3 linked regions of the Coturnix japonica genome follow. The protein of the gene in region 2 purifies or fractionates together with the protein of the main gene of each other region. This does not show direct contact. Links are inferred from orthologs where the notes say so. Each region holds a gene or a part of one and is shown on either strand. Other genes may lie near its edges.

Region 1 (3,568 bases), on a different chromosome or scaffold from region 2:
ACGGCGCAGCGCTGCCCCACCACAACACGGCGCTCACAGCCCACATCCCTCACCCCGCGGACAAGGCCGGGCCCGAAGCGCCGCGATCCCGCCCCGCTCCAACCTGAGCTCGGCCTGAGCTCGGCCTCCCTCCAGGGCCAAGGCCTAAAAATGGCGGAGCGAACCGCGCTCTCCGAGCCCCACTCCCGCCTCACACCGCACCCAGCCGAGCTCACCGTCCAGCCGGCGTCTCCCACCGCGCCCTCGCGGCCCCGCCGCTCGGCTCGGCTCGGCTCTTCGGCCCCGGAAGCCGCCGACGCCGCCTCACGATCCCCCGCCGCGGCCGGCCGCCATCTTCCTGCCCCCACCAGCGCCAGGGGCGGCGCATGCGCACCACGATAAGACGCTGAGCGGCAGGGAGGCCGCTCCACAGCCTGCGCATGCGCAATCGGAAGCCGCGCAGCCCTCAGAGCGTCCACCTTGTCCCAGTACAATCAGTGTATTGCAGAGATCTTCATAAATATGACAGAACACAGAAGCTTAATTAGAAATATCTTTTAATATCTTAGAAACATCTTTTTTAATTTACGCTAAGGGGAATAATACAAAACAACTGAGCGTATCAGGGCAGCTTTTGGTGCTCAGCTTCAGTACTGGAAGCTGCGTTTGGTCTGAATATCGTCAAGAATCTGCTGTAATTCCTCATCTTCAAACCGGCCCTCGAGGCTGCAAGGTAAGAACAAGGTGGGTACATTAAAGCTCGTAGGAACAGCCTCCCCTGTTCCCCTCTGAATTCATTTCACACCCATGCAGAGCCTCCTGTTTATGTGACAGAACTCCAACCTTCCCACAGCTCAGTGTGGAATGATTTCAAGTCATTGTACCAAAAGGTCAACCCGGGTGCAGGCCTCATGCTCATAAGCCAGTCCAGATTTGCTATGAAGAATGTGAGCAAAATACCTCAAGTTGTACCAATGGAGGTTTCAATTAGAAAGAATTTCTTCACAGAAGGGGTGGTGAGGTGTTGGAACAGGCTGAGCAGGGAAGTGCTGGTTGCCTTTTGTGGAGGTATTCAACAAACGTTTGTACAACTTAGAAGATTCTATGAAATCTTAGCATACAAGGGGAAAGCTGTACTTCAGATGAGTGTCTCATTCCTCCTCTATCTCAGGGTACGAGGTAACAAATGATGAGACGACACTGGAAGATCTCCCTGCCCCATCTGCACATTGTCCACCCAGCGGTTCAGAGGGACACTGCTGTTTGCTCCAACAACAACCAACAAACGCAGCTGGCTGGGCTGACAGCCCCAGTCTAAGCCACTGCCCAGAGATGTGCTGGAATCCCCACTTCTGGAGACATCCAAGGCCAGGCTCTGAGCAACCTGACCCAGCTGTGGGTGTCCCTGTTCACTGCAGGGGAGTTGGAGCAAATGGCCTTTAATGGTTCCTTCCAACTCCACGATTCCATCACTCTTAATCCAGTAAATGTTATCTAAAGTGCGTTAGGGATATTTAGATTGCTTCACTGTCAGATCAATGGGTAAGTGAAGAAAAACTGAGATGGAAGGTTTTCCCATCAGCAGAGCTGGATTATGGAGGAGGCATCTGTCCATGGGCAGCTTTACATCACAGGGCAGTACACCACACTCCTTTTAGGTATATAAATGCTCACCTGGGAATCAAAGCTTTGGCTTCCTCAGCAGTCTCAGGGCATAAATTGGCTAAACACGCCAGTTCAAACTTATGGAGCTTCTTCTGGAGCAGCAAGCTGTGAGGAAAGCCAACAACAAGACAGATAAGCAAAGCAGCATCAAGGCAAGCAGACAGCACACAACTCTGCTTTTTGACACTGCATCCAAGTTTATGAAGGAAGAAACATTACAACAGTGGATAGGTAAAAAGACAGACACAGCTGTGGGAAGCCCAGGAAACGTCAGTAAATCTCAGCTCCATCGAACAAGGCTGATGTTACGTATCACAGCCCAAAGCCTCGCACCCACCTGCGGACGCTGGCGATGGTCTCCCTGTTCTTGAAGCGGCTGAACCGCGCTGTGTAATTCAGGGTTTTCATGAAGACTTCGGACAGCTCCTGCTCATCCTCCGCGCTCTCGTTCTGCTGCTTGCGATGCTCCAGAAGCATATGGACCTCTGAGTTCAGCAGGGTTTCTGCCGTTTCGAATTCTACGTTGGAACAAGCAAACGTCAGTGTTTAAAACACGGATCCAAACAACAGCACGAGGTGTCGCCGCGCACCTTTGGGGAAGACGAGCTGCGAGGCGTCCTCCTCCACATCCGCAGTGCGCGGGTCGCTGCCGCCCGCCGCCATTGCTCACCCGGAACTGGAAGACATGGCGCCCGGAAGCGCAGCGCTGTGAGTGCCCGGCGCCCAGCAGAGGGAGCGGCGCCTCAGGTGGCTCCAGCTGCGCTGCACGGCGCTGTGAGCACCCAGCGCCTCCATCTTGATGCCTCTGAGGGAACGCAGCGAGTGATGGCTCCAGGAAACAACCCACAGCAGCATTACTTCTGGTGCAGTGTGGTAAATACATGGAGGTGTGTGTGGGAGGAGCATGGATGGCAATAGCAGAACACAATAGAAGTAAGGTTCCCTTCTTTGGCCTACTCAGGAATAATCCATAGACAGCTTAAAGCTTCAGGCAGGCTGGAAATGAGTGGGTTCGTCCTGGCACTGCTAGCAAAGTAGTGTTTGTAGTAGTACTTTCCCTTGGGAACACACATGAAAGTGCCCAACCAGCTTAAGACTTACAGTAATCATCTTAGGCTGCACAATGTCACCCCATGCCCTTAAAGAAATGCAGAAATAAATGGCTGGAGGATTCACTGTGAGGCCACTCCTGCTCTCCTAACGCACATCTGTGCCGGCTGCTGTGCTTCCTGCACCCTGCAGGTGGGTGAGCTCCACCAGGAGCTGCAGGATCAGATCTGAGCTCCTTAATGTTTGTTAACTCCAGACGAGCGTGGCAGAGAAGCGAACTAAAAACGAATTAGCTGAGTGGTACAAACAGAAAGACACTCAGGAAGATAGTGTGGAAATAGAACATCTAGTGAATGAGGCTATTTCAATTACGTTTACAAGAAAACAAGGAAATCATAGAATCATAGGCTGGCTTGGGTTGGAATGGACCTCAAGGATCATAAAGCTCCAACCCCTCCCCCCCCCACCACCACAGGCAGGGCCACCAACCTCCATATCTAATACTAGATGAGGCTGTCCAGGGCCACATCCACATGCCAGATTGATGAGAGAAGCCTTTTAAAATCATTTGGAATCCCAACAGCTTCTCACATACCCTTTCACCTCAGAACATCCTGATCTTCAAGCAGTAGGTAGCTTGCAGTCTTGGTTACAAATTTAACATCTGTTGTTCCCCAGTGATCTCTCCTACTTAAGTACATGAAAACTGAAAGGATTCGGGGAAAGCCACATACCTACAAGAGCATAAAGGTACAGCCAAGGAGGCGGTGGTGGTGGCTAACAGCTCCCTGTCACTGCTGTGCTTGGTTTCAGTCTCAGGTTTTAGACATGAGCTTCTGTTGCATAGTCCAGGGCAGAAAGTGTTGGTTGGGAC
Region 2 (4,361 bases):
TTGCTGAGGCCCCATCTGAGTACTGTGTCCAGGTGTGAGCCCTTGGTACAAAAAAGACATGGAGATATTTGGAAAGGGTCCAGAGGAGGCCACAAGATTGATCAGCGGCTGGAGCACCTTCCCCTATGGGAAGGCTGAGGGCGTTGGTTTGTTCAGCCTGGAGAAGACGAAGGCTTGCGGGGTGACCCTCATTGCAAGGCTTTCAATACCTGAGGGAACTTACTCCAGGAGGAGAGTAAACTCTGTCGAAAGTGGTGATAATAGCAGTAGGGAAATGGTTTAGTTAAAGAGGAACGATTAGGTTTGGATGTTAGGGGGAAGATTCATTCACTAGGAGAGTGGTTAGCCCTGGATAAAAGGCTCCAGGAGGTTGTGATGACCCTCTTGGAGGATGCTTCAAGACAGGGTTGGACGGCGGCCGGATATGATTTAGCAGAGGGTTGTTAGAGTTAGGGTACTATAGTTAGGGTGCGGTTGGACTTGATGATCTTCAAGGTCTTTTCCAACCTGGGTAATTCTATGATTCTATGATTTTATATTACATTAAGCAATGAACAGGCTAACTTTTGGAAAATTTAAGTGTGCCCATTAAAGCTGATTGGAGTCAGACACCGCATTAGATAAAAGAGGAGCCCAAGTAGAATGTAGATGCATAGATCTGGGTTGGCCCTGCTTCCCCACCCGGTGCTTTATCACTGACTCAAGCCATGGTTTAGCATTTCTGCTACACACACATATTACATGTTTCTGTACAGGTGTCTCCAGGAAAACCATCAACAACTCTTTTCTTAAACCTGAAAAGCAGTATTTGAATGCTAGTAACAAAAGTAACATCTCAACAAATAGAAAATATAACTTTACCTTGAGGCTCTTTAAGTAGTTGGACAACATACTTGGGTGAAAACGATTTTCTTCAGCAACCTGATCATCGTATCTTGGTCCTAACATTGTCTTCAAAGGTAAAAACTTCCCTAGGAAACACAGATTTGGCAGCATTATATACATACTGATGTATATGCACACTTGCAACTCAGTGTTTTCAAAGCAATACACCAAGCAGTTCTATAGGTTCTTCTACAGTGAAAAGTAACTGCGGGTAAAGTATCAACAACAACTAACTGGAAGCTTTTCTGAGCTCTGAGTTCACAGAATGTCACCCAAATAAGAGGGAAACCAACCAGACCATCAAGAAGCAGCACTCTCACACTGTTAACCCCTCCTTCCACACTAACTCATAGCTTATACTGCCCAGATTGATTCTCCAAATCCTGACTGTGGATGATCTTAATGCAGAAATCTCTCTTTGCAGTGAATCCAACAAAGCATCGAGCATGCTTAGAACTGTTCTAATTCACTTCACTGCTCAGACACTGCCATCCCAACACACCCATTCACTCCGTGGAAGTGTTGAGTATTTCAACGGGCTCCATTTAGTACTACTTGGGAACATACCGAAACCCCGAGCCTTGGAACCATTTAGGTGCCCAACTTCTGAATGAATGAGCTCAGTCACACAAACAGAAGAGCTCCAGACCTCCCTGATTCTTGTATTTCAGGTCACCTAGAACTTAAAGATGCCACAAGCATAAGAGGGATGCAATCAAACACGTGGTGGCTGTTAGCCCACAGAAGCCAGACAAACCTTGCTGAGTGACAATAGTACTGACATGCTATTAGAAGGGAATGAAGCCATGCATAGAAGCATGCGAATGTGTTCGAAAAACTGATCCAAAGTGGAATATAAAGCACCTGTGAGACAGCAGCAACTCCAGGAAAGTCTAAAAATCACATCTTGCTAAAATAGGTAGATGGCTTGAATGCAGAATAAGAAATAAAACACATGGCAAGACTGTGTTTAAGTCCCAGTGCCCTATGTGATGTTATGATGTAGAACACCAGTAACCAGAGCTCATAAAACATGACAGACTGCTGGTTCACTATGATAGGGGGTTGGACTCGATGATCTCTAGAGGTCCTACAATTCTGTGATTTCTGGTAGCTGCACACACACTAAATGCCTAAAAATTAAGCGAAGTGACATAAGAACGCATTATGATCCAGCAGCCAAAGAAACAAAGCGAGCAGTTCCCTTTATCTTTATGCATTAACTTGTGGTGTCTGAGCGCACAGAGCAGAACAGCCACCTTGCAGTTCCTGAACAAGCACAGCCCGTGCATTCAGAGCTCAGCAGATGACACGCTGATGAACTACAATCGTGCTTACTCTGGCCATTTTTTTTTATTTTTTTCTTTTTTTGAGCAGTCCTGGCTTTAAAAACAAACAAAGAATAAGAAAAACTCATAAAAACCCCACACAAACCAAACTAACTAATTCTAGAGACGGAGAACGTGCTGAGAGGGAAAACAAAGAGTAAAGATTCATGGGGCTATTTTGGTGGTGGTCAAAGGCTGACAACTCGCCCTGTTCCCTGCAGCCGAGACGCGAGGCAGAGATTCCAGCTCCGAACCAGCTCCGAGCTGGGGGCTCCGGGAGGCCCAAACTCCACGCGGTGCCGGGACAAAGCGCCCGGCGGGGCTGGAGAACGGGGGTCGGGTGGAACGGGGGGGACACAAGGGAGCGGGCACGGCGGGGATCGCCGCCGCCACGCAGCCACGCCGGGCCGGGCGCTCACCTGCCACGGGCTGTCCCCTCCTGGGGCAGTGGAGCCAGCGCGGCGGGATCTTGTTGTAGGACATGGCCGGGCCCGGGCCGAGGGCACAGGGGGCGGGGGAAGGAAGGGGCGAGAGGGAGCGGCCGCTCGGCGCTCAGAGCCGCCCGCGGCCCCGGGCCCGCGGCGCCTTCATTCAGACCCAGCTCCGCCTCGGCCCCGGCCCGCACTGCTCCGCCACCGCTTCCGCTTCCGGGTGCGCGCTGCCGGCGCCGCCATGCCGGGTGAGCCGGGGCGGAGAGCGGGGCAGGAATGAATGAGCCCGGAGCCAGCGGGTGACAACCAGCCCGCGGTTGTGCTGACACCCAGGGGTGCGCAGTGCCCTCCCGACCCACATCGCCCTGCGCTTCCACGGCCGCCTCGTTTCTGTTCCTTCCCCAGCTGCTCCCAGCAGCGCAGGTCGGGAAGCGGCCGGCAGGGGGCGCTGGAGGCCGAACTGAAAGTGAAAGCGGGGATACCGGCTTATCGCCTACGGGGGGCTGCCCCGAAAGTAATGCCTCACGTTTATTTCCACAGCTACTACGAGTTCTGCTGGTGTAGGTCACGCTGAGCTTTACCACGTTAGACTTTACGAAACAAGTTACAGGCGTAGGATGACAATTCTTAAGTTGTTTCTTTGCGAACGAGGCACTTCTCCTGTTATACCAGCAGAGGGCACACAGTTCCCACATTCTTAATACTGCTGTTACAAGTGTGCGCTTGCACTTAATGCTAATTAGAGAACCTAATCATGCAGGCATTTAAACACGCTGAGCATGCACCAGCTCTTCCATAAGGGAGGTTGTGGATGCCCCGTCCTTGGAGGAGTTCAAGACCAGGTTGGACGGGGCCCTGGGCAACCTGATCTAGTAAAGGTGTGTGTTTGGTGGCCCTGCCAGGCAGGGGGGTTGGAACTACATGATCCTTGAGGTCCCTTCCAACCCGGGTCATTCTGTGATTCTGTGAAGCCAAAAGAAAATGCTAATGGCTTAACAGGTTGTAAAGCACGTCCACCTGTTTGGTGTCAGGAAATAATGAAGAAACTGAGTTCTAAGGCAAATCAATTATTCTTCCGTGTTTGGAAATGAAAATAAGACTTTAAAAGGAATTATTGTAACCCTTGAGTGTATCAAATAACAAAAAGGGTTGTTCAAACCAAGTTCTTTGATATATTGGAGATGTCATTTGCAGTGTTCTTCCTGCAGAGAGCATTGAGAGTTCAGCAACAAAATCACCAGTCTGTAATCTTCATAACATTAGGGGGCACCACAGTCTCACAGACATAACATGATGTAAGCTGAAGTATAGTTAATTCTCCTATCCAAACTAAACAGGAAACAGCATGAAGCCAGTCTAATCAGCTCCTGGAGCTGTTCCATAATGCAAGATTGTGATACAGTTCCTAACAGAAATTCCAACAGAAGACAAGCCAGACTTCTAGTAGAGCACAGAGTACACCCAGAGTAATAAAACTCGCAGACTAATAGATGCAACTTGCTTTCAAGTCTTCATGTGAATCTTAAATTTCCCTTCAGGGCTTCATTATGGGAAATTAAAGGCACAAGCCTTTAAGGTATTAGTGTTTGTAGAATATAGTTCTGCATAGGCAGGGAGGATGCAGAGAGCTTCAGATGGAGCTACTTTAAATCCAGGTCCCTGAACTGGACATCGTGCTAGAAAGGAATCAGAAAGCTGTGTGTCTGCAAACCCTCCT
Region 3 (4,077 bases), on a different chromosome or scaffold from region 2:
CTGAAGGATGTGCCAGCCTACCCAGCCAGCCACATGAGATCAGCTGTTCACGGCCTGCAGACAGTGGAACCAGAGTGGGGAATTTCCAGCATGGAGGGAAACCGCTGTTCACAGCCCCCACTCAGGAAGCAGAGCCCTCAGCTTTGGTCAGATCCCAGCTTCCCAGCCAGCTTCCTGGAGCACATCAGCAAGAACAAGCAACGTGCACAGGATGGATCTCAGCACAAATGCTAGGAAAAGCTAGTTTATAAAAGGAGGAAGGAAGAATTTCATTGTGGAATGAGGAGGAGCTGACGAAGAGACAATACAAGAACAAAATGGAAACATAGAAGTAGTGGTATATAGGTCAGGTTCCTAGTGCTTGCACAACTTTGGGAACCAGAAGCTACTGAGTTTTAGCTAAAAAAGCACATGAGGGAACACAAACTGCACAGTACCTGAAACACTTGGTTTTATGTTTAACATCGCCTTTTCCCAAATAATTTGCTCATATTTAACAATGATAGCATTTGCTTTCATTAATCCACAAATCAGATTTTGTGAGGTGTTTACACAAGTTAGAAAAAAACCTGGCCTATTAATAGAGCACACACTTATCCAGGCCGGACAGATACTACTGACTAAATTAAGAACCTACACACTGCACGTTACTTGCTGCTCTTGAAGCATGTGCAGAGACAAGAGCGATGTGTGGTGTGTGCTATTGGGTGCATTGCTGAGCACTAAGAGCAATTAGCACGTGTGAGCACACTGTCCTGATCAAAGTGCCTTAGTTACACAGCACAAAGTAAAGACTTCATGTCTGTATTAGAATCCTTTACAGCAAGTTATGCTTTCCATCTGACAGACTGTTCACTTACAACAAAGCTGGCAGCAACAGCCCAACTGTGGCTCCAATCAGTCTTACCACTCAAAGCCAATGAAGAGATCTCAGTATGAATGGACTATTTCTTCACAAGAAACTCACACACTGCACTCCTTTTGCTTTCTTTCCCAAGAGGAACAAAAAATAAGTAAATTAGAAAATTGATTAGCACGTGACAGACAGGACAGTTTTGAACCATCGCTAACAGATCTCCTGTGCACAGCAAGGGCCGTATCCACAACAAAATACATGGCAACACAAGGTCTGCCTGAAAGTACAGTGAGAATCTCCTCACCTCCCTCATGTTCAAATTAAACAAAGTCTCTTTCCATTCTGAGTGTTTTCTCTCACACTGGAAAGCTGGCCAGACTAAGAAAGCAGCTTCTTCACTGTAAAAAAAAAACCAGAACCTCAAATTCATATAATGGCTTGATTGAAAGGGGCCTTGAATATCACCTAGTTCCAACCCACAAAATTATCACCTATTTAATTCTTTCAAGTATAATTAAGAAACTACAAACCCCTGAGATTCATGGTTAATCAGCAGATCAAACATCAAAAACCTGCTCAGATTCAAGTTCATTCCTCCACATCAGCTTATGATCTGTTCGCTGCACAGATTTTGGTAGCTTGAAAGAACTTTAGCAAATACTGAGAATCAGTGATGCTCAACACGCTTCTCATCCTAGTTTCTACAATGGAAAAAAAAAATATGGAAGAAGAATGAAAGGTCATCTGTTAGTAGTCTCAATCCACTAGACACAGCTATTGTAGACACTACTGCTTGGCCTGGAGTAAATTTTGTCATAAGAAGCAAGGGAAGTGGATAATGCATCATTCTACTTACGGTGAGATCTAGAGCTGGTCAAGAACTGAAAGATACCACTTCATGAGGAGAAAAAAAGAAGTGCCATTCTGTCCATTGTCTTTGCTACTACAGCTGTGCTTTGCTAACTGTTGATAGATGCTGGAATGTTTTAATTCGTAGAAGAAATGAGAGAGTGCAAGAGAGCAAAGAAATGGATATTAGACTCATTTTTTAATAAGTCATCAGGTGGCCAAAAACCACGATTCAAGTCTGAGCATTTCTTCCACGTGGGGTTATTTCCAGAAACACCTGAGGCCAGGTAGATCACGGCGATCAGTTTTGAAGCCGGGGCACGCCGGGCACCTGGACATGGATCACGAGATGCCCACGCCCGCACAAGGCTTGTAACCAGACCTGACCGCGTTTGTACCAAGCGCCGTGTTCACCGTGAACCCGCTGCCTACTACGCCCGCACTCCATGGCGGCGAACTACGCCTGGAGCCTGCTTGCTTGTAGGAACCGCGTTTGAATTACACTGCGAAACACTCAGGCAGAGGAACACACAAAGCTAAGCCCGTGGCTTTGCAGGGCGGCACGAGGCCGCAGACGGCGCGCACTCACCATCGCTCTCCGCCCTGACTAGCAGGGACATGCCCTTGAGGCGCTCCACGTAGCAGGAGGAGACGTGCCCGGTGCCCCTGTCGTCCCATTGCCGATCCTCGTTCAGCGTGTAAACCTTCACCCTGCGCCGGGTGTCAGTCATCGTGCCGCCGGCACCGCGGCCACCGCGCCGCTTCGCGAAGGCCGAGGGAGCGTGAAGGCGGCCGGGGGCCGGGCCCCCTCACGGGGGGAACGGGAAGGAGGGTGGCGGCCCCACGCGGACGCGCCAGGAGAGCTCCTCGTCCCGCTGCTCAGCGCTCCGACCAGATCCTCATGGCCACGGAGGCGGAGTGCCGAGGAGCGGGGAACGACGGAGAGAAGCGCTGCTCCGGGTCCGGCCGACAAAAGGCGGGCAGAGCTCCACGGGGAGAGGCGGCGGGGAACGGAACGCGGACAAGATGCGGATCCGGAGCAGTGGAAGCGGCGTCCGGCCCGGGCTGAGAGCGGCGGGCGGCCCGGCGGGCAGGGCCCGAGCGGGAAGCGCCGAGGCCGGGCTGAGGCGGGCGGGAAAGGCGGGCGGGAGCGGGACCGCCCGGCCCGGCCCGAGCGCGGCTCTTTGTGCGGCGGCCGCCCAGGCCCGGAGCCCCTCACTCGTGTCCGTCACGGCAGCGCAGCGCGGAGCCGCCCTCTTTCCGCGGGGCCGGGACCGGCGGGCGCTGCTGGCCCGGGGCGGGATGAGGCGGGCGGGGGCACTCAGCGCCCCGGCTCCCCCATGGGCTCCGGTCGCAGGCGGCGGCTTCGCTCTCAGCCCGACACCGCCGCCATGTTCTTCTTCTTCCTCCTCCTCCTCTTCCTCCTCCCGGTGCGGCTGTGGCGGCTCGGTCCCGGCTCCTTAGCGCGCCCCGCGGCGTGGCCGCGCTCCCGGCACCCGGTGGCGGAGAAGCGCTCGGCCCGACGCTGCCGAGGGGGCGAGCGGCAGCGGCGCGACGCGGCCCGTCCAGCCCCGCTCCCTCCGCCTCTGTCTCCGCCTCAGTCACTGCACGGCCGCCATCTTGGTTTCACCTCTCACTGGAGGCGCGGGGTCTCCCAGCCAGCAGCGGCACGGGCCGCCGGCCGGCATTTAAAGGGCCAGCAGCCCCGAGCGGGCAGCGAGACGGGGCTGAGTTCTGGCACGGGGATCCGCGCCGCGCCTGCACGGCGGCACCTCTACAGCCCTACCGTGCAGCCCTTACCGTGCAGCCCTTACCGTGCAGCCCTTACCGTGCAGCCCTACAGTGCAGCCCTACAGTGCAGCCCTACAGTGCAGCCCTACAGTGCAGCCCTACAGTGCAGCCCTGCCGCACTCCCCGCCCCGCCGGGATTGCTGTCGGCGCCTGGCCCGGTCCGGACGTGGGAGACGCGTGTGTGTGTGCGGGTGGAAAAGCGCTGCTCGGTCCCACTCCTCGGGAGCAGCTTTAACCCCTCGCTGCACTGTGACCCCGTATCATGGTTCCGTGGAACACACGGACACGGCTTCCTGAAAAGCTTTTATTGTTATGATCTTTCTTTTTTTTTCTCTTTTTCCCTACTCCAGTATAGCTGAAAAGCAAGAGTTAAACAGCTGCTGGCTGAGCGGCTGTTGGACCTCTACCGGCAGGGATAGGCTGTAACCATTGCAATAACAAACAGAAGCCGTTGAGCCCCTGGTTCTGCTGTTGCTCGCAGCGCCCAAACGCGTGTCTGACAGGCTGCCCTGCGAAGGGCGTGCGAGGCTGGCAGGGTGTGCAAACAGGAGGGCAATTTGGGCCCTGCTGACATACCTCTG

What was found.
Region 1: the proteins of RNGTT (region 2) and POLR2D purify together in Homo sapiens (affinity purification with mass spectrometry; 3 studies listed by BioGRID and IntAct, with this or other methods). This does not show direct contact. The link is inferred for Coturnix japonica from reciprocal best matches to the Homo sapiens genes RNGTT and POLR2D.
Region 3: the proteins of RNGTT (region 2) and PPP4R3A purify together in Homo sapiens (affinity purification with mass spectrometry; 3 studies listed by BioGRID and IntAct, with this or other methods). This does not show direct contact. The link is inferred for Coturnix japonica from reciprocal best matches to the Homo sapiens genes RNGTT and PPP4R3A.

What each region holds. Positions count from the first base shown.
Region 1 is NC_029524.1:1,664,632-1,668,199, reverse strand, and holds POLR2D (DNA-directed RNA polymerase II subunit RPB4), read right to left. Parts: upstream 2,363-3,568; 5' UTR 2,308-2,362; coding exon 2,235-2,307; intron 2,163-2,234; coding exon 1,982-2,162; intron 1,750-1,981; coding exon 1,654-1,749; intron 706-1,653; coding exon 627-705; 3' UTR 520-626; downstream 1-519. UniProt on the Homo sapiens protein: Core component of RNA polymerase II (Pol II), a DNA-dependent RNA polymerase which synthesizes mRNA precursors and many functional non-coding RNAs using the four ribonucleoside triphosphates as substrates.
Region 2 is NC_029518.1:69,078,634-69,082,994, reverse strand, and holds the start of RNGTT (mRNA-capping enzyme), read right to left. Parts: upstream 2,854-4,361; 5' UTR 2,697-2,853; coding exon 2,633-2,696; intron 972-2,632; coding exon 862-971; intron 1-861.
Region 3 is NC_029520.1:40,252,217-40,256,293, forward strand, and holds the start of PPP4R3A (serine/threonine-protein phosphatase 4 regulatory subunit 3A), read right to left. Parts: upstream 2,841-4,077; 5' UTR 2,437-2,840; coding exon 2,295-2,436; intron 1-2,294. UniProt on the Homo sapiens protein: Regulatory subunit of serine/threonine-protein phosphatase 4. May regulate the activity of PPP4C at centrosomal microtubule organizing centers.